Elephas maximus indicus: one gene and its partners. The protein of the gene in region 2 binds, or shares a complex with, the protein of the main gene of each other region. Links are inferred from orthologs where the notes say so. Each region holds a gene or a part of one and is shown on either strand. Other genes may lie near its edges. The genes, in order: UNC80, NALCN, UNC79 and NALF1.

Region 1 (7,617 bases), on a different chromosome or scaffold from region 2:
TGGTTTGACACAGTAGCTCAGACATAGTAACAGTTGTGAGACATATGGTGTTTTGGGCTAAAAATGCCCAGGACATATGGGATATAGTTAATGGTACATCAGTAACTCTACATAGTGGGAGAGACCCCCATAGTAGGTAGAACCTCTCTGTTCAGATTCCAAACCTACAGCATCAATGTAATCATCACACATTTCTGACTAATAGACACATGACAACAGCAGTCATCCTTCATCTTCGACATCTTATGGGTAATGGTGGGCTCTTACAAAAAAACTGTTTTTATTAATTACTATAAGTGTTTATTTTAACACTAGCTCTCACCTACTTACACAACACTCTGGATTCTGTTTACTGCAGCAATCTTTTCCAAAGCCCAGCCAGAGTTCTCTTCTGCTCAGTTTGTCTGCCAAGAATGTTTATTCACATGCTTATCTTACAACTTGGCATTTGACACCTATCAAAATGTCCCCTTCCATTAAAAAAAGAAGATGACCTTCAGGGATGATATATATTTAGCTGCATCTGTCTGGATCCTATTAAAATTTCTTTTTATATGCCTTCTGAGGCCCAGTAGTCAGTTTCCTTTCCTGGTCCAAGGCTACTCCATTCCTTGGCACCATCTTTGGAGAATCCCAAGTACCATCTTTGGTTAAGCTCCACATCCAATCCAATGCCTTGCACGATGGAATGGTAATATCATGCAATGATTTGGAAGGAGCAATTCATTAACTGCAGTAGTGTAATTGACCAGATGAACTCAGTTCTTAGCTTTCCTCCAACAGTGTTCATCTGAATTGGGGGGAAAAAAAAAAAAGCTATGAAAGAAGGCAGTGTAGAAAAAGCATTTAAGAAGGGTAAATTTTCTCCCAAAAGTATAGAAATATTTGGGGGTTTTCAGTGGGTGTATGAAAGGTAAAAGATCATGGTATCTTGATTTTCCACTAAAATGTTATTTTGACAATTAATTTTGACAGTGCTTATTTTAGATTTCTTCTGCCTCCAGATAATTAACTGCCTCAAGAGCTTTCTGGAATGGGAAACCCCATGATGTAGCTCCTTCATCTTCTGTGCAGCAAAGTGATTATTTTGTGCATCCTTGGATAGCTTCCACTCACATCACTCATGGCACTTCTTCCAAACCCTGCTACACAATACTCAATATTTAAGCAGAAAGTCGGGCAGGAAATTTGAAGTCAGGTTTCACAGCTTCCTTCATCATTTACTTAGGCAGGCTGCGTAACTTTTCTGTGTCTCAGTTTTCTCTTCTTTAAATGTTGGTAAAAGGGTTTTTGTGAAGATCAGTTAATCAATGCACTTAAAACAGACCTTGGCACATAACAAGTGTTCAATAAACACTATTTGTTATTAATATTTTTCTGGCAAATGCCTTACTCCTCTGCCATTAAACACTTGTAGAAAATGACTTTCCTGATTAACTCACAGCTTAAAAAGTCCGTCAAGCCTGAACGCTTTTATATTTTCATCTTTCCCCTCTTCCTAATGGTGGCATCTACCATTCTTCCTTTTTATCTCCCATCTCAAAGAGAACTCATTCCTCCACCCAGAAATGATCGGCCAGCTGTGCATCAGATATAATCTCCTTCAAAATTCTCTTCCTAAATTATCCTCTCAAATATCCTTAACATTTCCCTCTTCAATGACTCTTTAATTCTGGTCCATAAATAGGCCCCTGGTTTAAAAATAATTTGCTTATTTTTTAAAAATCCTATATGGATCCTGGAAACCTGGTGGCATAGTGGTTAAGTGCTACAGCTGCTAACCAAGAGGTCAGCAGTTTGAATCCATCAGGTGCTCCTTGGAAACTCTATGGCGCAGCTCTACTCTGTCCTATAGGGTCACTATGAGTCGGAATCAACTCGACAGCAGTGGGTGGTTAAATGGAGCCCATTCTAGTGCCTGAGTATTTTCCTTTATTTTATTTTCAGACTTGTAAAAAGATTATTGAACACTCTCTGGTTTTCCACCTCCACTCTCCACTCACTCTTCAGTATTCTGGGTCTCGTTTCTCTCTTAATAACTCAAATAAAAACTACTTCAGTTCAGTTTGCCTTTACCAGAAAAAAAAAAAAAAAAAAAAAAAAACCTCTAAAACTTGAACCAGCGGGATTTTTTTTCAGTCTTTTCTCTTCTTGAACTTTCAGCTGTTCACTCTTTCTATCCTGAAGTTCTCATTTTTTGGTATCTTGGTTATCTCTTTGTCTTCTCTAACCTCTCCTTTTCAGCATCTGTATCAGTTGTTTATTTTTGGCATAACAAATTACCACAGCCCAAAACAACACAAAGCTATTATCTCACAATTTCTGTGGGTCACGAGTTTGATCATGGCCCAGCTAGATCCTCCTCTCAGGCTTCACACAACTGAAATCAAGGTATCAGATAGGGTTGTGGGCCTATCTGAGGCTTGGGGTTCTCTTCCGAGCACATACAGTTTGTTGGCAGATTTCAGTCCCCAGAGGCTATAGAATTCATGGCGACTTGTATCTTCTTTGCCAGTAAGCATCTGCTACAATTTTAAATCTCTCTGATTTCTTCTGCCTCTGACCCAGATCTAAAAGGTTCGTGGGATTAGGTCAGGCCCACCCAAGACAATCTCCCTAATTTAGTCAAATGATTTGGGAATTTAATTACCTCTGCAAAATCTGTTCACAGTACCATTTAGATTAGTATCTGATTGAATAACAAGGAGAAAGTATGTACACTGAGGGAGGGGGGAGTCTCCAGGACATCTTCCAATACTGCTTACCCCAGTATCCTATGCTGTCAACACTCAAAGGCATTCTTTGTGACAACTGATTAAATGTTGGTACTACCTGTACTTCCAAACTTGAGCCCTTTCTTTTCTCTTTCCGCTTATTCACATGGATTATTTTATCTACTTCCATGTATTCAGCTACCTTTTATACCATGTTGACCACAAAACCAATCTATCTTACAGAGTTAACTCTTCTGAACTCTCTATCCATATTTCTAACTGCTTCCTAATGATATAGGGTTGCTATGGGTTGGAATTGACTCGATGGCAACTTTTTTTTTTTTTCCTAATGATATCCATTGGAATCCATTAGGGACTTAAGGAAAACTCATTACTGCTTCCATAAACCAAAACCAAACCCACTGCTGTTAAGTAAACTCTGACACATGGTAGCCCCATGTGTTACCGAGTAGAACTGCTCCATAGAGTTTTCTTGGCTGTAATCTTTATGGATGCAGATCACCGGGCCTCTCTTCTGTAACACTACTGGGTGGGTTAAAACTGCCAACCTTGTGGTTAGTAGTTGAGGGCAAACCGTTCGCACCACCCAGGGACCTTAATGTTCCCATAAAATAAAAATAATTTTTACATAAAGCAAGAATATGATTCTTCCTGTCAATATTTTTCCTGTCAAATTAGATTACCAAAACAGAAAATTTGGAGTTTTGGTTAATATTTACTGAAAGTTTAATATAGATCAGGGACTTTCTTAAGTTCATTACAAGTATTAACTACCAGTGTTAACATTCAATCCTCCCAAAATCTCTATAGGGAAGGAAACCTTGGCAAAGTTTTTTTTTTACTTAGCCAGAATATTATATCTAGTAAGGGGTAGGCTGGAGTCTCAGATGTCTGTCTCAAGACCCAAGATCTTAAGTACTATGTATCTATGTTTCTTTCCCCATGCCCCCTTGGGGATTAAGTCCTATTAATTCTACCTCTGCAGTGTCTTTCAAACGGATTTACTTATCTCAAGCCCTGCTTTCACAACCTTGATTCAGGACAACCAAAGGAAAATGGCAGATACCACTGGGGTGAAGAGGATCATCCAGGTGCATTTAGTGGACCATCATATACTAGATTTCCTCGTTGCATGATTCAAATGACCTTCCTAAAGTTGCAATAACTGATAACCAATTTCTTGAGGTTACCAATTGAAAACAAATTCTCACATCAGAATTTTGAAGCTTCCTCTGACTTGCCAAGCTTACCTCCCTTCCTGTTTTACATTTCTAATCATTTTCATGCGCTCCTTCCTGTTAAACCCCGAGGGTAGACTCCTGACCTCTTTGCTAGAGGTGCGAATGATGCCAGGGTTAGTGACTGCTCTGCGGTTTCCCAAAGCTCCTCCTCCCCAGACCGTGACAATTCTTCGGATGCCGAGGTTGGGAAGCAGGACAGAGGACACTCCTGGGGTGCAGTTCGAAAAGGGGAAGGCAAACCCTGGGGGCTGAAGAGGCCAAGCAGGGGACCGGCGTGCAATGCAAAGCGTGGACCCTCTAGGTCATTCCCAGGCTGCTCCACCTGCCCCCGGCTCGCGTCTGTGGCAGGGCCGCCCAGCGCGGACCGCTGTCCACAGTGGGAGGTGCTGAAAGCAAGGAGCGGGCGCGGGGGCGGCGAGGCGGACAGCTCCTCGGAGCGCCCCCCTCCTCGCTCCGCGGCTCCTCCAGCCCTCCCCTCCTCCCGCAGCCATGTTCCGCGTGCGGGGAGGGGCGGGGGAAGGGGAGAGGGACTCGGGATCAGGGCGGAGAGAGCCAGCTCTGCCTTGGGGAAGGAGGGGATGAGAGTTGGGGGGAGCAGCGGGAGGAGGAGGAGGAGGCGGTGGCGGCGGCTAGCGAGGAGCCGGCGCTGGGTCCTGCAGTAGGACTCTCGGGAGCCACCATCATGGTGAAGAGGAAGAGCTCTGAGGGCCAGGAGCAGGACAGCGGCCGCGGCATTCCCCTGCCCATCCAGACCTTCCTGTGGCGGCAAACCAGGTGAGGGGCGCAGAGGGCGCGCCGCGGGTCGCCCTGGGCTGGGGGCGCTCCTGGGGCCGCCCGAGTCGCCGCCTCTGCCGCCGCTGCCGCCGCTGAGGCCGCGCCACAGCCTGCAGCTCCCTCTCTGGGACTAGAAAGCAAGCCCTCTGCACCCTCTTAAAAACGCGCATTTTTTTTTTTTTAAACGTATCAATGAAGTTTGACGACAAGTAGATTGGCAGTTGTCAAATAAATATATACATTATTAGGTGGCGGGAGGGCAGATAGCCTGGGAAGCGGGGGCAGGGAACTGGTGAAGATAATTATGACTGGCTGTGCTCCTGCGTCCAATTCCCTCTCCACCTCCTGCTGTAATTCTACGCGGTGACCTGTTGTTTTTCCAGCTCCTGTTTGGCGAATATCTGCTATGCCCACTTGTTAACTATTTTTGCTCGGATTCAGCCAGTATAATCTTCCTGTCTAAAGCCCTGACGGAGAATGATTTTTGATAAGGGATTGCTTTTTCCTGGAAAGGCCTAAAACCTCTTCCAATTAACAGAAAACAAAATTTTCTTTATTATTATTATTAGAGATTTATCGGAGAGGAAATTAGATTCTGGAAATCATGACCCACACGCCATATTTATTTTTCAGCTTTCGATATGACTGTGCACATCGGTGATGCACCACTTGTAACCCTTGATGATTTAGACTCTGATTAAAAGTCTTCAGGATAAGAGCGGGTACAGAAGACCGCAGAGCTCCACATTTATTTCATAGATATAATTACACATGTAAACGCCTAGTCATCAGCTGTTCAACACCTGCTCATTAACAAGCTGTAGGGAGACATGAAATTTGAGTTTCATAGGATCATGTCGTGTTCATTGAAAATATGTCATGAGGGTATTTTAATATATTTGTACTTATGTTTATAACAAATATCTCTATTGGTTTTTCAGTGCATTTTTGAGGCCCAAACTGGGGAAGCAATATGAAGCCTCCTGCGTGGTATGTGCTTTTCACCATTTAATGATTAATCCCATATGCCGTGTGGTAACTTGAACTCAAAGAAAGATGTTAAATGATACTGACTGTATAAATTATTTCATTCAGCACGTATCATTGAGCACCTATATGCCAAACGCTGTTCTAGGTGCTGGGAATAGGGAAATGATTAAAATAAGCATAGTGGGATAGGGCAGGTCATCATCAAATAAGTGGAATACATAGTAAGTCAGATGGTGATAAGCACTACGGAGAAAAATTAAGCAAGAAAGGAGGTGAGGGAGCATTAGAAGTAGGGATTTCATTTTCATAAGGGGAGAGTGGGTGAGGCCTACCTGCTAGTGTGATCCTTGGACAAAGATATGAAAGAAGGGAAGGAGAGAAATAGTTGAGGGAAGAGCAGAGGGAACAGTATGTCTGAAGGATCTCAGGTCAGAGTAGAAATGAAATGGCAGGATTGGCAGAGGGAGATTAGTAGGAGAGGGTAGGGAGATAATGCAGAACCACGTGATGGAAGTCCTTGCAAGACAAGTGTGAAAAGTCAAATCCTTAACCAACAGTTGAGACTGTTACATAATGGAAGTTCATATAAGAGTGCCTGTGAACAATTCAAACAAAGCAGTATGCAACTCTGAATTTGTATGTCTTGCATATGTTGTGCAAGCCTGAAAATGGAAGATATAATTACGGAAATAATGCTATTGATATTTAAGCAAAATAAAGTTCACTTATCCTGAGTGCTAAGGATATTCCATAACCTTACAAATTCCCATTTTGTAAATTGAGAAAATAAGTCATAAAATCATCCAGCAAAATTGAAATAAACTTTTCACAAATTTCCTTAAAACCGGGAGCTCTTGTAAAAGCCTTTACATTGCATATAGTATAGCCTAAAAGTAGACGCATAAACATTTGGATATTGGCATGCATATTTGCAAATGACTACATGAATGTCTCTGTATTAAGGAGTTGTGAAATGCATTAGGGCCACAAACTATGGTGGAAGCTAACTGAAGAGTTAAACACACTCACACTGACACATAGACACTCAAGTAGGAATTAGTTTTGTTCCATCGCCTGCCTTTCAAAGTTGTCACAGAAATATCTTTATAATTAATTTTCTGATAAAGATCTTTTTTAATGAAATTTGTTGTTGTAGTTAGTGTATATCAGAGGGACTTGACAATTAAAATATGTGAGCCTTCCTTAAACCATGCCGACACTTATCCTAGCTTAGAATGTTGTTGTTAGGTGCTGTCGAGTCGATTCTGACTCATAGAGACCCTATGTACCACAAAATGAAACACTGCCTGGTCCTGCGCCATGCTCACAATTTTTGTTATGCTTGAGCCCATTGTTGCAGCCACTATGTCAGTCCATCTAATTGAGGGCCTTCCTCTTTTTCACTGATCCTGTACTTTACCAAGCATGATGTCCTTCTCCAGGGACTGAACTCTCCTGACAGCATGTCCAAAGTATGTAAGACGTAGTCTCACCATCCTTGTTCTAAGGAGCATTCTGGCTTTACTTCTTTTAAGGCAAGCTTTGAATAGTCTAGACTTTTTCTGTTCTTGGCTAAGAAGTGTTTAGCATTTTTAATGTAGTCATAAAGTTTCACAGAGCTAGATCAAGTATCATGTATATGAAATGACGTATACCAACAATATATGTTGTTGTTAGGTGCTGTAGAATCACTTCTGACTCATAGTGATCCTATGTACAACAGAATGAAACACTGCCCAGTCCTGCACCATCCTTACCATCGTTGCTAAATTTGAGCCCATTGTTGCAGCCACTGTGTCAATCCATCTCCTTGAAAGTGTTCTTTTTTGCTAACCCTGTACCTTGCTGAGCATGATGTCCTTCTTCAGGGACTGATC
Region 2 (7,764 bases):
TTTTTTAACTATCACTTATATTACTTATTATTTTAAATTAAAAAATAAATTCAAAATTTCTTTAAAGTTTGCACACAAGCAGTTTTCGAAGTTTGAAAACTCCTTGCAAGGGCCCTTGAGGCAAGCAAGTATCATATAACATGGTAATCAAGTTCTAAAATGTTCATACCGCTATTTGGGGACAATTTATAATTGATCTCTTTAAGGTCACGGTTATAATTTGCAAACCCCAAACTAGAATATAATATAATGAGAGGACAGAACGATTAAAATAGAGAATCTTTAAATCTGGGATATAGTTTTGTTTTATATGATTGCTTCTATATTCAGATTGCTCCTACACAGTTTTTATTGAAAAATTCTGTATATTATGGTACAATGGTTAATGTGCTGGGCTGTTACCTGAAAGACTGGTGGTTCAAATCCACCCAGAGGCACCTCGAAAGAAAGACCTGATATGAACTACTTCTGGAAAAATCCGACAATGAAAACTCTGTGGCATACAGTTCTACTCTGACACGCATGGGGTCGCCACGAGCCAGAATTGACTCAAAGGCCACTGTTTTTTTGCTGTTCTTGTTCTTGCATTACCCCCAAACAGGAAGACTTGAAGCAACACTAGTTGGGAAGTAGAAGATTTTCATTCCTGAAAGTTTTAGGGAAAATACACAAAATAAATATTCATCTTGCTGTGTATGCAATTGGTTTTATATTTGTCTTTCCTGACAAATTCTGAGATTCTAGGTCCAACCCTTTTCTGCCCTGAACTTCCAACTCCTGGCGTAGTGCCTGATTTATATTAGGATACAATGGTGTGTGTGGATGCGAATTTTTCTTCACAAACTTGACGTCTACATGTGAATCTTTCCTTGGGATAAATATATATATAGCCAGGAAAAATCCCAAATTATTTCAGCAGTATTAGGGCAAATGATAAATAAGCACTTGCATGCACACATACCCACACGCGTACACTCACAACGTACTCAGGAAAGAGAACAGAAGCAAATGGAACACATTTCAAAAAAAGTCATGCCCCAAGAAGAAGGAAATGCTACTGAGACCTTCAATTCTCTATTCTCTAGACTGCAAGCAAATCACAATATTTTGAAGACTTTTTTTGTGTGTGTGTGTGTGTTTGTCCTTTCTTGAATATCTTGGAAGTCAGACCCAGAGTTAAACCTATATTACCACCCTTTCACAAGAAATAACTTGTTACAGAGACTAAAGCATGGTCACATAGTGTGACGGCACCTCAGTTCTGTCCGGTTGTCAAGTCTTCTAAAATATTAAGAAGGCCCAATGAGCTGTTCAAACTAAAAGCCTAATTTTTTCCCCTTCATTTTATCCGGTTTTAGCAGTGGCTGGGTCAAAGTACACTACAAACCAAAAAACCAAACCTGATGCTGTAGGGGCGATTGCAACTCACAGTAACCCTATAGGACAGAGTAGAACTGCCGCATACGGCTTCCAAGGAGTGCCTAATGGATTCGAACTGTCGACATTTTGGTTAGCCGCCAAGCTCTTACCCACCCAGCCACAGTACAGAAAAAAACAAACCAAACCCGTTGCCGTCGAGTCCATTCCGACTCGTAGTGACCCTAGAGCGACCTGAGACAGCACACAAAGGTCCACAAAATGAAAGCCAGTTGGGAAATACATTTTGGTCGTTGTTGTGGAGGTTAGGGAAGCCACGATTTTTATTTAAAACTGTTGAAATTTAATCCCTCAACTCATAAATCCAGTGTTCCTGCTCAGAGTAACTGCCATAGTCCACCGACTCCTTTCTCAATTTCAAGCCATATTACAGCTATGAAAACATCAATCATAATTTTTTTTAAAAAGCCAATTTTTGTTAATTTCTGACTCATATTAGTGGTCTTCTGTATCAATCATAGCCTTTTTATACATAACAGTCACTGGCGCGTCACCACCAACGAAATACGGGCCTAGTTTGATGACCAGACAAATACAGATTAAGGGCTAGTAAGACCCTCGAGGACTGAATCCGTGTGTGTCTTCTACACAACCTTAATAAAATAGTCCCTAAAAAATAATGCGTGAAACTGATTCATCCTGTAGTATTTCAAGAACCTATCCAGATCTGAGTTCAGAGTTACTACACTATCCTAAAAGAGGAGATGGGAGTCAGAGACATAACCCCTTGCTCGGAGTTCAGGTCGATACATTCCAGTCGGTCTCTTGAAGGTTCAGTGGCAAAATGGTGTTGCTCTGGGAGAGCAGCGCTCTGACCTGCTGTGTGGCAGCCACCCTAATGATAGCCGCGCAGAAGGCCAATTAATAAAATGAGGGATATTAAGCAAACAGCAATCCGTAGCAGCACGGGAATGGATGGGAGGAGGAGGCAAGGCCATAATCCTTCTGGAAACCTGCTGGAGCGGACTCCCCCCCACCCCCCCAACACCTGCCTGTCTGCCCTGAGGTTCACCCAAGCTGCAGGCTGGGTGCGGAGGGGTCAGTGCAGCAGCTACCGTGATGTGCAGCCACCTCATTCCCAACTAACCACCTGCAAGCCCCCCAACACCTGCTGGATGCCAGGAGGAGGGGGCAGCAGGCCGGAGATCTGGCCGACCCCGACTTCCAGCATCCTGCCCGCTTCAAAGGCCAGGAAAAGTGCATCTGGCTGCAGGCGCCAAACCACGCGCCCGGCAGGGGAGGGGAGGGCGCAAGGCGGGCCCCGGCGCCCCTTCCCCGCCTGGGGGCGAGCCCCCTTCTGCCCTGCGACGAGGTGGTGGCGCCCCTTCCCCTCGCACGCGCCGGGCCCTCTCCCCCAGCGCCTTTCGCGCCCCCCTCTCGCCTCCCTCGGCCCAACCCCGGCGAGAGGCGAGCCAAAGCGCGCCCCGGGCCTCCTGCGCTGAGCACCGCGGCCCGGCGAACCGCGGCCTCCCCGGGCGCAGCGGCAATAACCAACCTGTAACCCTAACGCTGAGAACGGTCACGGTGACCGCGGGGTGCGGCGGCGGCGGCCTCGGGCGGCGGGGCGGGACAAGCGTGGCGGGCAGGCTCGGTCAAAGGCGCGGCCCCCACACCCCGGCGGAGGCGCGGGCACCTTACCTATGTCAGCTGCCGTCATCGCGCGCTCGACCCCGGCCAGGGACCGCGGCTCTGCTTGAATTTTAGTAATTAATAGGGCTACAGTGCTAGCACTGGGGCGGCTGCGGGGTGCTTGGGATCGAGAATTTTAAGGGTTTACTTTATTTTATTATTTTATATATTTTTGAGTTGGCTGTGCTGCAGGAGCTGCGATGATGCTGTGAGTTGAAGGGAGGAAACCAGAGACGAGGCTGCTCTGCAGTTGGTGGGGACCTGGAGGGCCGGTACCAGCAGGTTCCTTCTCGCTGGCTGCCACGGGCAATCAGTCTCACAGCCACAGCTGGGATCTATTATGGGCGCGAGCTCGTGGTCTCTGCCGTGTTCACAAGATGCAGCCGTGTGCACTGGAGTCGGGCAGACGTGGGATCCAAGCAATGCCGCTGCCTGGATGCAATCAAACCCTCCGTGTGCGCGCGCGCCTGTGCGCGATCTTGTGTTACTGTACGCAGTATCTGAAGATGTGCACTAGTTTCGTCCTGAGGATGAAATTGCTAAATAGTGAAAACATCACACTAATGATAAATAGTCGTCTAAATATGTTTAAATTTTCCATTAAAATGTTTTTTCTGTGGATGAGGCTGAATGTCCATTCACAAACTGACGCTACCCAAACCAACCAAAGCAAACCCGCGGATTCCGACTCAGAGTAGAACTCCTCCATAGGGTTTCCAAGTAGCGGCTTAGTGGATTCGAACTGCCGACGTTTTGGCTAGCAACTGTGCCACCAATTCATAATCCCACAGAAAGCTGCAACTAGTGTTTCCTGGGGCTTCTGATGGAGCAGGTTTCAAGAAATCTGGGCTCCCTGCACTATCCTTAGGCCCAGTGGACAACCTCACAGTCGCATGCTCAGAAAGATTTACTGTGGGATTGGTGTCTTGCCCTATAGTCAGGTGTTAAAACCACCGAAGAACCCTTGACGGTGATTTAGAGATCTTTTACACAGACATATACATAAATGGTGAGGGAAAACTAAATGAGCTTCCTTTAAAAGTGAAATCAGAACCTCCAACCAAAAAACTATTTTCTGTCACAAAATGTTACCTTCCAAGGAATAAAAGCAAAAACACACACACACTAAAACATCTTTGAAAATGTATTTTCTGGCTCTGGATTTTTAATTGTTATCATTTTAAATCCAACTATTCACAATCCATTCCCCTATTAATACTTTAGGTCATTTGTAGGAAATTGAAAAATAACTGGCATTTCATGAAATATACAACTTGATGATTTTTTTTTTTCTTCAGATTTGGAAGATTTCTAGAAGACCAATTTCATAAAAAGCTAAGTTTTAAACAAACGATGAAACTACATGGAAATATTCTTCATGACACAAAATGGAAAGTCATTTAAATAATAGTTATATGCCAATTTCTTTAGGAAAACTATTTAATCATCTTAAGGCACTGCTTTTCATTGTTCGATTTAAATACTAGTTTATTTTGATTTGTATCTTAAATGAAATATGGTTGCATATCATCCTTTGGAATCCATCAAGTTAGAATCACCAGTTAGAGAGAAATATTTGAGGATCAAGATATTTACAAAGCTTTGACTAAAGTGATAAAGGCAGCAATTAAAATACGCTGTTTTCACTCATCTCAGCACCAGCCCTTACCAAACAGGTATTTATTTCAGACTCTTTTCTGTCAAAGTCTGAATTAACTTTAAAGCATCTAAAACTCATGCATAAGAGCCAAACAAACCCATGGCTGGTGGAGACACAGTCTTTGTGAATCCATGAGCTTCAAGGAAGCAGCCTTGGAGAAGCTCAGTACACATTCCTCCTGGAATCTGTAGGAACTCATTGTACGTGGGTGTAGACAGTCATCCCAAATGGCAGATAATTATGTCCCAAAATCACATTACCCCTTCTACCTGCTCATCATCCCATCTACTTTCTTATCACTAAAATTAGGGAGGAGGGCCCAGGTATGGTCAAGCATCTTTTCAGGACCAACAGGCTCTGGAGTTATAATCATTGCTATAATCTAGTAATTCAAAGGTGTGTTTTCTTTGGCTTGAAAGTATTTTTGAAAACTCAAGATCAATTATCAACATTTGAAAAACAGGAGATTCTTAATTTAGGTCAGGCCTGCGTTTCTGCGAGGCGAAGAGCTGGAGGTATAATGGCCGCCTCCTTTAAACCGGCCTACCATTTGCTCCATTCCCCCTCAGTCAGCTTCAGCAACAGGCCCCAGAAGACTTTTAAGTGCATGATCCCATACAGTTAAATCTGTATTAAACAATGTGAGATTGAGGAAGGGATGTTGTTAAACAGAGAGAAAACTGTCCAGCTACAAAGATGACTTCACAAAATAGAGTAAAACCAGGCCAATGTACAACCAAGCCAGTAAAATATGGCCTAGAGAAAGTTGTGTTCATAAACTGACAAGTCCTTCAGAATGGAAGTAACTATGGAATGTAAGACAGTAAGAATTTTATGAAAACAGGGCTTTTGTTTCTCTCTAATTTATCTGTTCTTCTTGGTTATTTTCACTTAAGTTAGTATCCTGTTTGACACCATAGTGCATTACTGAGTAAACAATAACAATGCTAAAAGAGAAAATTATAAAAACCATGAGGGAAATGCTACATACTCTATGAGAATATATATGTACTGAGTTCTACTGTGGATTCTGTTAGATTAGATTTACAGGTGAATTACACTTTGGTAACTACCCAAAACTCTCCAAATTTTTTGAGACTCTTAAAATTAGTTTTAATCTGTACATACTTGCTTTTATTGTGTGATCTTAGGGCTAACATATGGCCCACTTAGTGCCAAATATCGATGTGCTCGAACTTTCCCTGTTAAGAGATATTTGGGGGAAGAAAAAGAAAGGTCCAGAAGACCCATTTAAAAAATATAAACAGGTTAAACAGGGCACTCTAGGGCTCGCTAATCCACTAACACAGATTGGCATATACAAAATTCATTCTATGCAGAAGAGACACATTTTGATAATGGAAAGCTTGGGGTAGGTTTAACACTGTTTGCTTCCTGGACCTCCACAGTGAGAAGCATAAAATGATTGCTTGTCTCTGGGGAAAGGGAAGAGATACCAAGAGGAAAAAGCACTTAGCCATGCGCCCCCAAAGGCCTCCTTCACCTTACTTCATCCTGTCTCAGATCTTGAGAAGGAAACAAATGTGCTAAGTTTCCAATGAGGAAAGATCTTTTGGTTTGGTGGTCATCACATGCAGGCAATATTCTGGATGGAAAACTTCACTAATTCCTTGTCTTCTCATGAGTCAGCATTTTCAGGTGACCACAAACACTTCCACTGTGGCTTGCTCTATTCTAATATAAGCATTAGATGATTTCGGAAAATGTCTCACATCTTACTTTTCCCTTAAGGCAATGCTTACCAACTTCCTTTGATAATAAGGGTAATCTGGGCATCTTAAATGTTTCCATGAAGATTTTGGTTAAGTATGTCCGGAGCGAGACATGAAACTATGGAAAATCTGTCTTGATTAAAAAAAAAAAAAAAAAAACACCTTTGAGCAGCAGGATACCAGCAGTTGGTACATATTCACAGGCATCCATTTCCTAATAGACCAGAGTGGACTTGCCCACTCCCTTCCCTCTGCTGCAAGTCCTGTGTACTTTCATTGCCATATGGACCTGGGACCAGTTCTGGACATCATCATATGGACACTCGGCTAGCTCTGGAATCCTTACACATGGTTTAAGTTCTAGTTTTGTTATGTGAAGCACCAAAACCGTGCCAGTGCATCTATGGGGTAAAAGACCAGCTGAAGAATCAATGTGAGGTCTTTGCAAGGTTGTCATAGGGCAGTTTATGTTCACAGTAGTTCCTACTTGCAGCGAAATTAGCCGCAGATAGGAGATAGGCTCAGCATAACCTTCAACAGCAAATAAATGAAGGTAGGGTAAAAGCATGGAAAAAAAAGATGATATTAAACCCAAAAAGACAGAAACTCTTAAGCTAGGCAGAAACATATTAGAACAAGAATTGATTCCTTTTATGGAAAATACACTGCCTATGATTTTTTTTTTTTTTTTTGATATAGGGGGAGGGGGAACAGAGAACAAACAAATAATATGTTGTAGAAGGAAGTATGGTCTTCACACTTACATATATTAAAGATTAATTGGAATTTTTTCCTAGCTCACATTTTATTTCAGAGGAAACCTGGGTTTAGAAGAAGAAGAAGGAAAAAAGACTGTGAAATCAAGGGTAAAAAGAAATACCAATTAAACAGTCTTTCTGGGAGCAAAACAGAGGTCTCTTTGTGCTGAATGGCAGCTGAGCCAATCACCCAAAGGAACCAGAGGACTTCTGAAAACTAAGGTCACATTTCAAATAAATCACTCAGCAACAAAATGGAGCAGATTCTGACGATTTGATAAAAGCTGCTATCAGCTACAAGTAAATCTTCCAGAACCCAGTTCTGAAAGTACCCTCAAAGATCTCATTTGTTGTATAAAATATCTTAATATGTTCATCAATACCAGGGGCTCATAGCCACTTGGGTTGATGTGCTGGGTCCTCCCACAAGGCAAGCCACTCAGAAAGGTAGAAGTGCTAGCTGAGGGCAAGGGAATCTAGAATGGTTGACAGAGAAGAGAGGTGATGAGTATCACTTACAGACTTGGGCCCAAGTGTAGCAAAGAGG
Region 3 (6,853 bases), on a different chromosome or scaffold from region 2:
GCATTCAACTGTGTGGATCATAACAAATTATGGTTAACGTTGCAAAGAATGAGAATTCCAGAACACTCAACTGTGCTCATGAAGAAACTGTACGTAGATCAAGAGGCAGTTGTTTGGTCAGAACAAGGGGATACTGCGTGGTTTAAACTCAGGAAAGGTGTGTGTCAGGGTTGTATCTTTTCACCATACCGATTCAATTTGTACGCTGAGCAAATAATACGACTGTATGAAGAAGAACGGGGCATCAAGAATGCAGGAAGATGCACTAACAACCTGCGTTATGGAGATGACACAACTTTGCTTGCTGAAAGTGAAGAGGACTTGAAGCACTTACTGATAAGATCAAAGACCACAGACTTCAGTAAGGATTACACCTCAACATAAAGAAAACAAAAATCCTCACAACTGGGCCAATAAGCCACATCATGATAAATGGAGATTGAAGTTGTCAAGGATTTCACTGTGCTTGGATCCAAAATCAACACCCAAGGAAGCAGCAGTCAAGAAATCAAAAGCTGAATTGCTTTGGGTAAATCTGCTACAAAGGAAGTCTAGTGTTGAAAAGTAAAATGTCACCTTGAAGACTAAGGTGCACCTGACCCAAGCCATGGTATTTTCAATCGTGTCATATGCATGTGAAAGCTGGACAATGAATAAGGAAGACCAAAGAAGAGTTGATGCCTTTGAATTGTGGTGTTGGCGAAGAACATTGAATATACCATGGACTGCCAAAAGAATGAACGAATCTGTCTTGGAAGAAGTGCAACTAGGGTGCTCCTTAGAACCAAGGATGGCGAGAGTGCGTCTTACATACTTTGGACATGTTGTCAGGAGGAATCAGTCCCTGGAGAAGGATATGATGCCTGGTCCGCAGAAAAGAGGAAGACCCTCCACAAGATGGATTGACACAGTGGCTGCAACAATGGGCTCAATCATAACGATTGTGAGGATGGAGCAGGACCGGGCAGTGTTTTGTTCTGTGGTATACAAGGTGGGTATGAGTCAGAACTGACTCAATGGCACCTAACAACAACGACAACAAGGAAAAGCAGTATAGCATAATTATTGGGAACATTTGCTCTGGATTAAGACTAACAGGATTAAATCCTGGTTCTACCACCTATTAGATATGTAATTTTGGACAACTTATTTAACCACTCTATGCCTTTTTTTTTTTTATGCCTTAGTTTTCATTGTCCGTAAAATGGGTATAATAGTACACTTATCTCATAGAATTGTTATGAGGGATTAAATGATATGATATATATAAAATGCTTACAACACTGCTTGACACATGTATTTACTATTATGATAATATAATACTGTTATAATAATTATAGCTATTGTTAGTATTACCATTAGTAGTTGTTGTCGATGTTGTCTCCCTTTGAAAATGGACTCAGCTAAACTGCATACAATCTTCTCCAACAGGCCACTTTAACAAACTACATTTAACCACCGTTAAAATGCTATCATCCATGACCATATTCCAAGGATCCATTGCTGAAGAAAATGAAATCTTCGTGTCTTCCAAACATGGCTTTACTATCCTGAATTTCTTAACTTTTTGGCACAACGACTAAGACCTGAACAACAAGCTCCAAAGTGCCAACTAGGATGTCACAGTTTCTTTGCAAATGGAATTCACAATTTGCTTCCAGCTGAAAAGTGTCTCTCACTTTGAGAACTTTCAGAATTTGTGACAAAGGAAAGAGCTTCCCTCTGAGAATCCTGATCTCAAATTCAAGAGAATTCTCTTGAGAACAGAATCAGATGCCTTGATTTAAAAATTTATCTGATTATACCATGAAAACTGGGCTAATGATTCCACTGCAATTGAAGAGGACGGAAAATGTCCTTTTAGAGGATCCTAAATTTACTGTGTGAGTAAAAAATCTATGAATCTGATAAACAAGATCCCTTTAATACAGAATACAGACAGTAACGAGTCTAATGAAAGAAAAGATATTCCAAAGAATAGCAAGGAAATAGAGATGGCCCATCTGCGGAAGATTAGTACCTTCTTTCCAGAAAGCATTCAGTCAGCCTGTGGGAAAGCCTAAACCACTGGAAAAATCCAATGCCACTATGGTCACTCCTGAATTTGTGTTCTTTTCCTAATAATATCTATTTTATGAAACTTTTGCTGTTGTATAGCTAAAAGAAACAGTAAATTCAATTCTATGTTTCCAAAACCAGATTTGAGATGAGAAGATCATGGTAACGAAAGAGACCAAGCCTCAGAATTTAATGGAAAGTGAGATGTTCCTACTTTGATATTATTTCCCACAACAACTCAGGCTTCACTTGAAAGGCTCGTCTTTGTCTGCTGCTTTTCCTAACAGGAAGTGTGAAGCAGATAGGTCCCTCCTCTCTTTGGGAAATATAAAGAGTTCCCACGTCTTTAGGTTCCTCATTCTCCACAGAGCTTCAATATTAATTGTAAAGCACGTAACACATGAAGTGTTACGCCAATTAAAATGAATTGTTATTACCATAGATTATACTTCAAGAAATACTAGTATCGAAACTAAAATCTACATAATTGTGATTTTCTGGAAGACCAAAACTGTTTCCTAGTCTTAATTTTAAAGGCAAGGTACATTCTCCTTTTAACCTCACTCTATATTAGTGCCATATAACTTTCATCATTTTATAAATCTATTGAAAAGGCATTCAGTTAAGGAAAGCAGGCAAAAGCCAAGCAACCCACTTATTTCCATGAGGCCTTCCAGCTGATCTGCTATATACACCCAGAGGACTTGAGTCCATACTCTTCTGGCAGAGCACTAGAAAGCTTCAGGCCCTTCAAAATGTTCTGTTCAATAAAAATTTAGGTCCCGATAAATTCAGCAGTACTACCTAATAATTCTTTCAAAGTAGAGGATATTTTAAAGCTTACCTTAATAAGGTCTGAGAAAAGTATTTCAGGGTGTTTGCAATATCTGTTCCTGAAGGTACAGGATAAATGTTGTGAAGGACCCGGTTATGATATTCCTGCAAGTACCGGATCTTGGAAGCAACTAGATAAAAGCAAAACAAGAAAAGAAGGATCATCTTGTAATATGTATTAGGCATACAGTTATTTTTTTAATGATCAGATATTGGACTTTACTAATTATTTCTAATGTAAATTTTTACTAGAATTCCATAATAGAATTATAAAATACTTTGAATTTCGTATCACTATACTCAGCCCACAAAACTATTCTCAGTTATCTGGCTTAATATCCTATTCACAAATTACTCATTACCTTTTCTTATCACTGAGGAAAGCAGCACTCCAAATGGTTTTATAATCATTCCCAAGTTAGCTTGCTATTAGCAAAATAACAATAGATATATATCTCTGCCACCAGAGAATTATCTTTAATATTGGTTAACTAAAACTGAAGAAGAAAACTCAAAGGTCTTTCAGTAACATTAAAAATACTAAAAAATAGGGAGTCCATTGCACAACATCATCAGTTGCGACCAGATTTTTAACTCAGTAAGTGATCGTGGAAGTACATTTTAGTTAATGCTTGAACTCTAAGAATATGTTAAGAGCACATTAACCTCATGAGTATTAAATAAGAATACAATGACTATGTGGTCATAAAAATATTTTTTAAAAATGAGTGTCACATTTTTCTTCCAAAGGATTTCAGAAATTAGGCAACTTCTTAATAGCTCTCTGAGCTTGGCTGCCCAGATCTTCTCAAGATTCAGGAGGGACTAGATAGATTCATTTACCCTCCTACACCTACCTCCGGTCACCAGCAATGTCCACATTCCTGACCTGACTCTGGACCTGGCTGTAGTGAATGGGTCAGTTCTAGTCATTCCTCTTTGCAAATTCCAAGGAGCCATGATGATCAACTTCTCTCTGGTCTCCTCTTCCATAGAGTTCTCAATACTGTTCATTTGTCCTTTCAATCTTTAAGGCTACCAAGAGAGCCTCTTGGGTGGTATGGCTCACTGTCAGCAGTTAACAGAAGACATATCAAGTCCTGGAGAAGCAAGGCCTTGCTGTTCCCAATATCCAATGGAAATAAGGCCCTGGATGAACTCTAACTGAAATTCTGGCTTATGCAACTTTAATAAAGTCAAAATGCTTCTGACAGGGGTGGGACATAGAATCACAGTATGTTGAAATATCAGAACTGGAAGATCTTAGAGACCTTTTCCAATAAACACTTCATTTTAAAGATGGAGAAAATGAGGCACACAGGTAATTAACGGCAGAACTAAGACTAGAACTTAGATCTCCTAACTCCCAATCCAGTGTTCTTTCCATTATGACGTACTCTCAGAATAGGATTCTGAAACGAAGTCAATACGTATATAGCAGGTTTTTATTCCATGACATCAACGCCAGTGGTAATTTTCTGCTGTTATTAAATTAATCATTGATCCTAAATCCTACATATACCATTTCTCAGATTTGCCTTTTCTCCCTTTTACTACCTGTACTATACTCATAATATGTTTGGCATTTATCAAAAAAAAAAAATTGCAGATTGCAGATAATAATACCTTTAGTTTGTACAGTACATCAGCTCGGAAGAAAGCAACAAGTTTATATCCATTGTCTCAATTAACCCCATAATACGTGTTTGGTTGTAAATAACTTTTTTCCTGAGATAAGATATAAATAGGTGATGTTTAAACTGTTTTAATTCTATCATCTACTAAAATCCATTTTCTTCTCAGTGTTTTTGACCTGCTGTTCTTCTTTTTTAAAAAAATAAAAAATTACATTACAGAGAACCCCATATTAATACATAGTTCCAAGTCTGAAATATTTGAGATATTTGGTAGGCCAGCATATGCTTCCTGCCCATCCACCATCACAAAAATGCTTCATTACTGTGACTTTTCTCAAGCTTTAATATTCAGGAGGTTTCTGTAGAGTATTTTGGGAATACCATTCATCATTCTACCACCTAAAAAAGAAGTTGATGATCGTGCAGGGTCTGTACAATAAGCTCAAATGAAGAGAAAAGTCCTGGATCTCCCAACTAAGATGGCTTGCTCATAATTAAAAGGAGCTACAAAATTGTCACTACACAAAGACAGCAGGAATTAAAAAATGTTTGTGGAATGAATGAGTGATATTTTTATACTTCCAGTAAAACGCAGCAATAGCTCTTTTCAATGGGTATCCAAGCATGCAAAGGAAAGCAGAGTCTAGAGTCACTCCCTTCTTTGAGATATTTTAATATTTTACAAACTGCACATTTCATTGGCTTTGTTTATTTACTTACCTCTTTTTCTTTTTTTTTTTTCTATACCAGGTTATAAATTTCTTGAAGGCAGAAACTGTATCTTACCTCTTTTCCCAAACCTAACACACTGCCTGGTACTCAATGATAGGATAAATGAACAAATGAATTAATACTTTAATCACAGCACTTAACATTTGGGATATATATATACATATATACACATATGTACACATATACATATATATGCGTGTATGTGTGTGTACACACACATAAACACAATAATTGATGAGTGAAGATAGGGGAAAAAGGAAGAAATAAAGAAAGGAAAGAAAGGAAGAAAGACAGTGATAAGTAGTCAGAAAACACAGTTTGCAGAAAAGGTTGGAAGGAATGTTCACGCTGATCCACGCATTTTGTGGAATGCAGCAAAATCTCAGCAGTCGTGGATTTACCTTGCGTGATTTTAACTACTTGAGAGCAGCCAGAAAAGTCCCTGACATATAGTGAACTGTAATTGTGCTGAGGGTGTGAATATAACTCATGTACAATTCAACCTTGTACACGGGAAATGGCTGTTCGGTTAATAAACTTGATGGGATCAACCAGCAGCCTTATCGCAGGACAGAGTTCTTGTTCTTTACTCCCCCAGATAGTGAATATGGCTTCAGAGACTCAGATAATTGGGCGGGATGGATATAAACAAATGATCTCCAACCTCAACTGACCGTAAGGCCACATTTCTCTTTTAAGCTCCCACTTCCAAGCACTTTAATCACTGTTTCATCCCTTCTCCTCAAAACTCATCCACACCCACCCCTTTCCTAACACTTTAAGAAGATAGAAGCCATCTATGAGAAATCTTCTAAGAGTACAAATAAGAGTTAACAGCATAAGATCTGAATCAAATAGTTCTGAATTAAGATCTTGGCTCTATCTCTACAGAACTCCAGTTTCCTCATCTGTAAAATGGGAATAATCATAATACCAGCCACATACAGCTACTAGGAATAAATCGCTTATTATCTAAATCATTCAGCAGAGTACCTAGTACATACTCAACACATAAAAACCCGTACCAAACCCCTTGCCATCGAGTCGATTCTGACTCATAGCAACCCTACAGAACTGAGTAGAACTGCCCCGTAGGGTTTCCAAGGAGCTGCTGGTGGATTCGAACTGCCGACCTTTTGGTTAGCAGCCAAGTTCTTAACAACTGTGCCACCAGGGCTCATATATAGTATCGAAAACCTATCTGCATCTCCTTTGCTTTTCCTACCAAATGCCAATCCCACCACGGTGCTCTCCATCCATCAGTTGTCTCTCCTACATCGACCTCCCTCCTTACTAAATCATTTCCATCAGCATTAAAACATATTCTAGAATCTCCCTTGATTAAAAAAACTCTTCCTTGATTTTATATTCCACTCCATCTACTACTGGTCTCTTTCTTCACAGTCAAGAGCACTGAAAGTGTTGTACACATACTCTCACCTCTTCCTCACTTCCTATTCATTTTTCTACTCATTGCATTCCGGTTTCCACCTCCACCACTGCACTGAATCTGCTTTTTCTAAGATCATCAAGAACTTCCATGTTGCCAATCCAGTTGTTTTACTAGACCTATCAGTGCATTCCTCCTTCTG
Region 4 (6,997 bases), about 7.4 Mb from region 2:
GAGATATAGTTATACGGTTTAAAAAAAAAAAGTAGTAAAGTTTAAGATGCAATTATTAAGTGAAGTTGCATTCTACATTAATGTGATGAACTTAACATTGCTATTTTCGAAGTGGATCTTCGTTTCCGCTCTTAAAGAATGTTAACACAGCAGAATCAGTCTGCATCAGCTTAATTACCAAAAGCACAACTAGTCAGCCCAAGCTAAAATACAGCCCTTGCTCTATGTTCATTTTTAATAGGTATCTCTTATGCTGGTTTTTTGGTCAAAACTTCACAAAATCCTTCGACCCATACTTCCCTTGATTGCACTTTCCCATCACTGTCTCCCTGACAAAAGGCAAGTGAGGCAGAGAGACAGATGTTTTGTATCAGGTTGGGGGAATAGAGAAGAGATAAAAAGAGGATGTGGGGTATTATTTCTGTTGAAAAGCAATGTTTCTTTTGTTGTTGGTGAAGAAGTGATCTTTAGAACAATACATTAAGACTAATTGAGAGTCTGTCATCACTGCTTTGCTACTTAAAGGTCACTGCATCATCTGCAGCTTCAGTAGAATTCTTGGGCAAATCTCGTGTCAGCACCATGGATAGCGACAATTGGTCTACGCACCGATGGTGGCACTGGTCATTTCCTAAGAAACTTGCATACACTTCTTCGCCAATCAGCAAGGGTTCTATTCTTTATATCGTCAACAGGAAGAAGCTGAACATAATACAAGTTAAAGAGTTCAGTAAAATTTAGCTCATAGCACCAAGCACTTGCCAGTTAGTAATTACGGAGAGCATTCTGAAAATTCAAGCTAATTACATGAGGTGTCTGATAAATAAACCAACAATGATAATGGATCACTAGATACCCAATTGCAACTTGCCACCCACAGTGGGTCTCAGATGAATGATTACTCACAACCAAGTCCAAGGAAAAATACAGGCCCCCAGACTTTGTAACCACTACAACGCCTGTAAAAACTGATAAAATGCTTTTCCTTAAGTCTACTTCAACTACCACAAAAAACTTTCTATCGTCCTGCTAGTCAACCAATTTAATAACGGCATTACAAGAGGATTCAGGTGTGCGAGTCCATCTGCCAAACTGTGCATGCTGCTTCTGACTAGTCTGACTTTAGTTAATGATCGTCAGCATGCGGCCCCATCACTGTTTTCCTAAAAAGCGACATTCAAAATCCAGTTTTTATGAAACCTAACAGAGTTTGAGCTAATTGTATAGTCCTAAGAAATAAATAATAGCATTAGCTTTCTCATCTCAGAAGACCAGGGTCTTCCGTGATCTTCCAAGATGCCCCCCACCTTCCCCTCCCCACAAAAAATCAGTCCCCCTGCAATCCAACAGATAGCCCTAACTCAAGCACGAAGTCAAGCTCTTATAACCACGGTAACCACCACGGGGGCGGGGGAGGGAATATATATATATATTTAAAAACACTGGAAGATACCACAACCAAGCAAACGGCCAGAAAAACGCAGAAAGGGGGGGGGGAATCCACTGTTCCTACCTTACAGTCCTCGGGACACGACTTCACCGAGTACTCCTGCGACTGTAAATATTTATGCAGCACACTTTCAAACTCTTCGTATTTCTCCTGAGCGTGGTGGTCGTAGTCTTGGTAAGCCTCGACGCACTGCCTGCAGGTGGTCATCTCGCCGTCCTCCTTGAGCACCACATCCAGACTACAGTTCAAAGTGCTGGGACTCGACAACCCCGAGAACAACTCCCAAAGTGTGTAGGAATTACAAAACGAAAGGTAAAAATCCGACAAGTTCCAGAGCGTGGTTTGCTGCTTCCCTCTCACCTGCTGCTCCTCCCCCCCGGCCGCCACCCCCCGACTCCAGTTCCTGGCGCACACGGCGTCCGCGTCCTCCACGGTGAAGCACTGGCCCGAAGAGGCGCCCTGGGGGTAACAAGTCTCCAGGCGCCACACGGGTTTGGCAGAGTTTCCTAGAAAAAGAGCCTTGCTCCGGTTGTTTTTGCCTCGGTTGCCCTTGCCGCCGCCGTCTCCCGGAGAGGGGGGCAGGGTGGGGGACGAGGAGGCGGAGAGGAGTCTGTGTGCCTGGGAGGCGGGCGAGGACTCCCCCATGCTGGCCAGGAGCGCCGGCCAGGCGGGCTCGTGCTGCCGCTGCCGCTGCTGCTGCCGCTGCCGCTGCTGCTGCTGGTGCTGCTGCCGCTGCTCCTTGTCCCGGGTCCGGGTCAGTTTGGCCTCGGCGCAGAACCACAAGTGATCAGAGAGCAGGACTGTGAAAAACAAGAGAGATGCCAGAGACAGTCGCCATTTCTGAGCCCTCTCTGAATCGGTGAACGGTTTCTCGTTCTCCCGGGGTGCTGCCAACCAGATTTTTAAGCCGTCGTCATACTGCCGACACATCCAAGCACCCCTGGTCATATTTTGGGAACGCACAGCCCTGGCCGACTCCACCGTGAGGGCTCCTGTGCCGGTCTCACCACAATATGCATTGACTTAAAGGGTTTAATTTCCTTATCCCCTCCTCCCGTTTCTTCTCTCTCCCTCTCTCTCTCTCCCTCTTTTGCTCTCTCTCCCTCTCTTTTCTCTCTCTCTTCTTTTGCCTACAGAAAGATTACCAGGCTTTGGAGGAAGGGCTGACTGGCTTCCGACCTACTCCTCGGCAGACCCCATCCTCTGTGGAGTGGAAGACAGTAATGCAGAGAGGGACAGAGAGAGAGAGAGAGAGAGAGAGAGAGGCGGAGGAGGCTGGTGCTGGTGGCCGGCGGGGAGGCTGGGTGCAGGAGGTGATGGTGGAGGTGGCGGGGTCCTGGCGCGGCTCCTCTCAGCCCGGCATTGTCAGAGCGCGGGTCCCCATGGCCCTGCCGAGGCCAGCCGGCTCTCCACTGCCCGGGGCATGCCGCGTCTCGGCTGCCCACTGACGGCGACCAGAGCGCCTCCCCTCCTCCTCTTCCTCCTCCTTCTTTCCCTTCGCCTCTTTCTTCTCCTCCTCCTCCTCCTACTTCTGTCTCGCTCTCCCCTGGTCCAGAGCCTGGGCAGCCGCCGCCGGCAGAGCTCTCCCTCCCCCCCACCCCCCACCCCGCGCTCTCGCCGCCGCCGCCGCCGCCGCTGCCGCAGGTCTGCCCGCGGGCGCTGCCGCCGCCGCCGCCGGGGCTCCCGCTGCCCACGCCGCTGCCGGGCTCCTGCGGCGGCCGCGCGCGCCGTCCGCGCCGGGCCTGGGGGCCGAGTCGCCTGCGCCGGGCCTCCCGAGAGCCACGGTCATCTTCAGTCCCCCGGCTAAGTTGCCGCCATCTTCGTCCAGAAGAAACACTTTTTGGGGGGGAGCGCTGGCTTTTGCGTCATCTCCTCCCGCGCCGAGAGCTCTCCACCCTGGCGCATTGGCACCGGCTTCGGCCCGAGGAGGAGGGCGAAGGCTGCGGGGAAGGAGGAGGCGGGGGCCGGCTTCGGGGAGCGTCCCCCAGCCCCCCACCGGCCCGGGGCTTTCTCAGCTCGGGTCCTGGCTCTGTCCTTGCCCCTCCCGGTCCCCACTCTATCTTCTTGTTTAATCACTGGAGAAAAAAAAAAAAAAGTCAGAATGTGGACCGCATGATTGGGAACGATGTTTAATTTCTTCTGCATCTCCCACTCCCTCTCCTCTCGGTTCCCGGAAAAAGTCCGAGTTTCAGACGGGCGGTTAGAGGTTCCTTTGGGGGCAAGGGTCTGGGTACTGTTTTCTTAGCTAATGAATGGTTTATGTCAAAATAATGGTGGGGGCCGGGGGAGTAAACCCGAGCTGTCTAGAGGAGACAGGGTGATATTTGGTCTCTTTGGATGCACCCCGGGATCTCTAGACAAGTGGAGATTAACAGCATTATAGTGTTAAATTATTTTGTCAACTGATCCTATAATATGGAAGGAATGAGTGTGTGTATACGTTAACAGCTACATATTTATATTCATGTTTTCGTATTCTAAAGCAAAAAGACATTAGAAGTGGCCTCATAAAGTCTTAGGAAAAAACAGTTGAGACCTAGCCCTCTCTTCCTCATTCCATGTCTTAAATTTAGGGGATTCCTCCTGGGACCTGGAGCAGCCTGAGCTCCTGAACCCCCAGCCCCTCCCAAGCCGGCTGTCGCTCCCCAGCCCCCCCTGAACTGGGTGTTCTGCCGTCCAGGGCTTCCGCAGCAGCCTGTGCGCTGGGCTGTCTGGGCGTCAGGCGCTGCAGCCCGAGTCTCTGGTGCCCCTTAGCGTTGACTCGCAGAGTTCTGAGAAGGAAAGCACCAAACACGCTGGGAAAATCTGGAGTGCCCTGGCTCGGTCCTGGCTCCTACCGGCCGCAGCTGTGGGCAAACCTCGGAATTACTTTTACCCTCTTTGCCCCCCACCCCACGCTGGGGCCAGAGGAGCAGGGACGTGGCGTTGGTGCCGGGCGCCTCCTGTAAGCGCACCAGGCAGAGCGCAGGGCTTAGCCCAGCTCTCTCTGGTGGTCGCGCGTGGCATGCACTTTGCTCCGCTTGACAATCGCGGGGTTGACCTGTCTTCGGTGTTACTAGTGATCCTCCTACAATGCCGGGGTGCACACCCAGAATTGTGGTACTGGCGCGCCTTCGACCTAAACTGATATCTTGATTAATGTTTATTAGAGGGGCGGTGGTTGTTGGAATTGGGGAGAAGTAGGTATTTTTAAAAAGTTGCAAAATGTACTGGCATAATTCAACCAACCGGTTCCTTCGGCGGCATAAGATATATACAAAGCCATGTGGAGCCTTGGTGGCGCAGTGGTTAAGAGCTTAGGCTGCTAACCAAAAGGCTGGCAGTTTGAATCCACCACCCCTAAGAGGCAGTTCTACTTTATCCTGTATGCCAGAATTGACTCCATGGAAATGGGTTTGGTTTGGGTTTTTTTTTTTTTAAACCATATGCAGTGATCAACAAAGTTCAGTTTGATGGCTGGCTGATCTACAAGTATGTCATATAATGTTTTAAAATACTATTTTGGTAAGTATAGCATTCAAATTTTTTGGATTTAAATGCGTTGAAATTTATTGATTAATTGAAGGATCTAAAAATTACCAAATATACCCTACTATGGCAAGTTTATCCTTACTTGAAGCATCTTTAAATAAGCAAAAAAATTATGTTCTTTTGAAAATTAAACACCAAAAAAAAAACAAAAAAAACTTTTTTTTGAGCTTTGTATCTGAACCTGGCTTAAGCTGAGGAGATAGTCTTTCAGTTCTTCTATCTTTTGCTAATTTAAATTATTTCGACACTGAATAAAATTTTATTTTTTCAGCCAATGATTTGAATAAAGATATAGATTGGGAAGATCTCCTAAAATTTTAGAAAGCATTTTGTTTTGTCTCCCTCCCTATTGTCATAATTGCTTTCTTCTTAAATTTAAAACTTGTCCTCTTAAGCCAAGTCAAATTTAAATATAACCTTCAACATAAAAGGCTGCATGCAGACATCACTGAGTGTAGAGTCTGGCATTTTCTGTTGTCTAAACAAATGCTTGTGGAAGAAAGTATCAGAAATCTGCTTTTCTGTGTCTCAGTCAACATGGCTTTGTAGAACATGAAAGGAAACCTATCACATTCTGAATCCTGAAATGACTCCCTCTCCCTGTTGATCTGAACCTGTAGGGTCTTTGTGATACAGTGTGGATTAATTTAATAATCCAATGCTTTTCTTCTTATAACTCAGCGCTGGATATTTTTTATTTTAAGGGATATTTCTTGTTTCTTTTCTCCTCTTTCTCTCTGTCTCAATTTAGTTGCTTAATGTCTGGGTTACAGGGTTTAATTTTATAAACCATTTTCTCTATCTAGCTTCTTTCTTTTATCTACCCCCATTTCACCTCTCTTCACCTTGTTTCTTCTTAATTTGAAAACGCTGTCTGGAAAGATGTGTATTACTCTTTCTCCTGTGTAAGATAGAAAGCTCAGAAAACCCTTGATTGATAAAGCCCGCAGGATATCCCTTAGCAGGGAAAGCTTCCACAGAAAATGCACAGGTAGATTTAGACCTAGTTTCCAGACAGGGGTGACCTGAGAGCCTCTGGCTATTTAACATGAAAAGGGAAAACACACCAGAGACCTTCAGCGATTCCAAAGGCAGGAAAGTGAACAAAGTCAGTGTTACAATGGTTCCAGGTCTGAAATAACTAAACAGCCACCATTTCCCGACTTCTTACAGCTGCCCCTGCCCCCACCAAACCCTTCTTCTTTTCCCACTCAGTGTACCTACAAATCTCGCAGTTTGGACTTTCAAATCAGGTAAGACCTGCTCCCGTTCACAGTGATTCACATAACCTTGGTTGTGTTTCAAACCAAACCAAACCCTTCGCCACTGAATCGATTCCAACTCATAGCGACCCTGTAGGACAGAGTAGAACTGCCCCACAGTTTTCAAACAGTGCCTGGTGGATTTGAACTGCTGACTCTTTGGATAACAGCTGGTAGTACTTAGCCACTACGCCACCAGGGTTTCTGGTTATGTGTAAAGACGACATTAACTTCTTCAAAGAAAAAACTGGCAGACAGCTGTGTTGAAATGGAATATTGTACTTGCTGTTGAAATACATATTTAGTCTTTCTTTTCTCATGTCAGATATAAAAATCTGGTCAATTCCAACTCATAGAGACCCTACAGGATGGAGAAGAACTGTCCCACAGGGCTTCCAAAGCTGTAAATCTTTATGGAAGTTGACTGCCCCATCTTTCTCCCACAGCGTAGCAGGTGGGTTGGAACCACTGAACTCATGGCTAGCAACCAAGTGCTTAACTACTGTGCCACCAAAGCTCCTCATGTCAGGTACACCAAAACCAAATCCCCTTGCTGTGGAGTCAATTCTGATTCATAGCAACCCTTTAGGACAGAGTAGAATTGCACCCACCACAGAGTTTCCAAGGAGCAGCTGGTGGATTTGAACTGCCATGCCCTTGCTCAGCAGCCAGATTCTCAACCACTGCACCACCGGGGCTTTTCTACTAATTCCATTCCCTTAACCCCACCACTCCAGATGTATTTGCTGCTTTA

Evidence for each region.
Region 1: the proteins of NALCN (region 2) and UNC80 are in contact, whole or in part, in a cryo-EM structure (PDB 7SX3), measured with the Homo sapiens proteins. The link is inferred for Elephas maximus indicus from reciprocal best matches to the Homo sapiens genes NALCN and UNC80. Residues at the interface, in NP_001337678.1 of Homo sapiens: Asn639, Met643, Val644, Ile646, Lys648, Leu649, Pro650, Phe653, Val655, Pro656, Lys657, Ile658, Arg659, Glu660, Phe662, Met663, Lys664, Gln665, Phe666, Ile667, Arg669, Val711, Ser713, Arg715, Ala716, Arg717, Leu719, Lys722, Glu723, Ala725; in NP_115893.1 of Homo sapiens: Lys1979, Asn2004, Glu2005, Cys2006, Asp2007, Leu2128, Arg2129, Leu2130, Pro2131, Pro2134, Arg2135, Ile2138, Asp2139, Phe2142, Phe2145, Ser2146, Glu2179, Asp2184, Glu2185, Met2187, Leu2188, Asn2191, Asn2194, Ile2198, Leu2199, Glu2202, Ser2226, Leu2227, Ser2228, Gln2231.
Region 3: the proteins of NALCN (region 2) and UNC79 are in contact, whole or in part, in a cryo-EM structure (PDB 7SX3), measured with the Homo sapiens proteins. The link is inferred for Elephas maximus indicus from reciprocal best matches to the Homo sapiens genes NALCN and UNC79. Residues at the interface, in NP_001337678.1 of Homo sapiens: Gln349, Met350, Phe351, His352, Glu353, Gly358, Trp359, Gln360, Leu361, Phe712, Ser713, Ile714, Arg717; in NP_001333147.1 of Homo sapiens: Cys861, Gln862, Ile865, Glu968, Pro969, Asp970, Phe1020, Gln1022, Pro2088, Asp2089, Ala2092, Pro2093, Leu2095, Leu2096, Met2099, Leu2139, Pro2141, Asn2142, Gly2143, Ile2144, Gln2147, Leu2148, Ser2151.
Region 4: the proteins of NALCN (region 2) and NALF1 are in contact, whole or in part, in a cryo-EM structure (PDB 7CM3), measured with the Homo sapiens proteins. The link is inferred for Elephas maximus indicus from reciprocal best matches to the Homo sapiens genes NALCN and NALF1. Residues at the interface, in NP_001337678.1 of Homo sapiens: Cys207, Val209, Asn220, Leu222, Ala223, Ile224, Pro225, Thr227, Tyr237, Pro240, Phe243, Tyr406, Glu409, Phe909, Ala1044, Lys1045, Asn1047, Pro1049, Arg1054, Ile1060, Arg1062, Ile1063, Asn1064, Val1065, Ser1066, Lys1069, Lys1080, Lys1081, Gly1083, Phe1084; in NP_001073865.1 of Homo sapiens: Lys278, Glu281, Phe282, Val285, His287, Lys288, Tyr289, Leu290, Gln291, Glu294, Tyr295, Ser296, Val297, Lys298, Ser299, Tyr308, Trp311, Leu312, Gln315, Leu335, Gln338, Thr339, Cys341, Phe343, Ile344, Leu345, Pro346, Asp347, Asn348, Asp349.

Annotation. Positions count from the first base shown.
Region 1 is NC_064824.1:108,203,860-108,211,476, forward strand, and holds the start of UNC80 (protein unc-80 homolog), read left to right. Parts: upstream 1-4,615; 5' UTR 4,616-4,658; coding exon 4,659-4,750; intron 4,751-5,691; coding exon 5,692-5,740; intron 5,741-7,617. UniProt on the Homo sapiens protein: Auxiliary subunit of the NALCN sodium channel complex, a voltage-gated ion channel responsible for the resting Na(+) permeability that controls neuronal excitability.
Region 2 is NC_064841.1:66,276,019-66,283,782, forward strand, and holds the start of NALCN (sodium leak channel NALCN), read right to left. Parts: upstream 3,006-7,764; 5' UTR 2,933-3,005; intron 1-2,932. UniProt on the Homo sapiens protein: Voltage-gated ion channel responsible for the resting Na(+) permeability that controls neuronal excitability. NALCN channel functions as a multi-protein complex, which consists at least of NALCN, NALF1, UNC79 and UNC80.
Region 3 is NC_064828.1:107,068,668-107,075,520, reverse strand, and holds the start of UNC79 (protein unc-79 homolog), read right to left. Parts: upstream 3,018-6,853; 5' UTR 2,903-3,017; intron 1-2,902. UniProt on the Homo sapiens protein: Auxiliary subunit of the NALCN sodium channel complex, a voltage-gated ion channel responsible for the resting Na(+) permeability that controls neuronal excitability.
Region 4 is NC_064841.1:73,626,900-73,633,896, forward strand, and holds the start of NALF1 (NALCN channel auxiliary factor 1), read right to left. Parts: upstream 3,014-6,997; 5' UTR 2,399-3,013; coding exon 1,514-2,398; intron 1-1,513. UniProt on the Homo sapiens protein: Auxillary component of the NALCN sodium channel complex, a channel that regulates the resting membrane potential and controls neuronal excitability.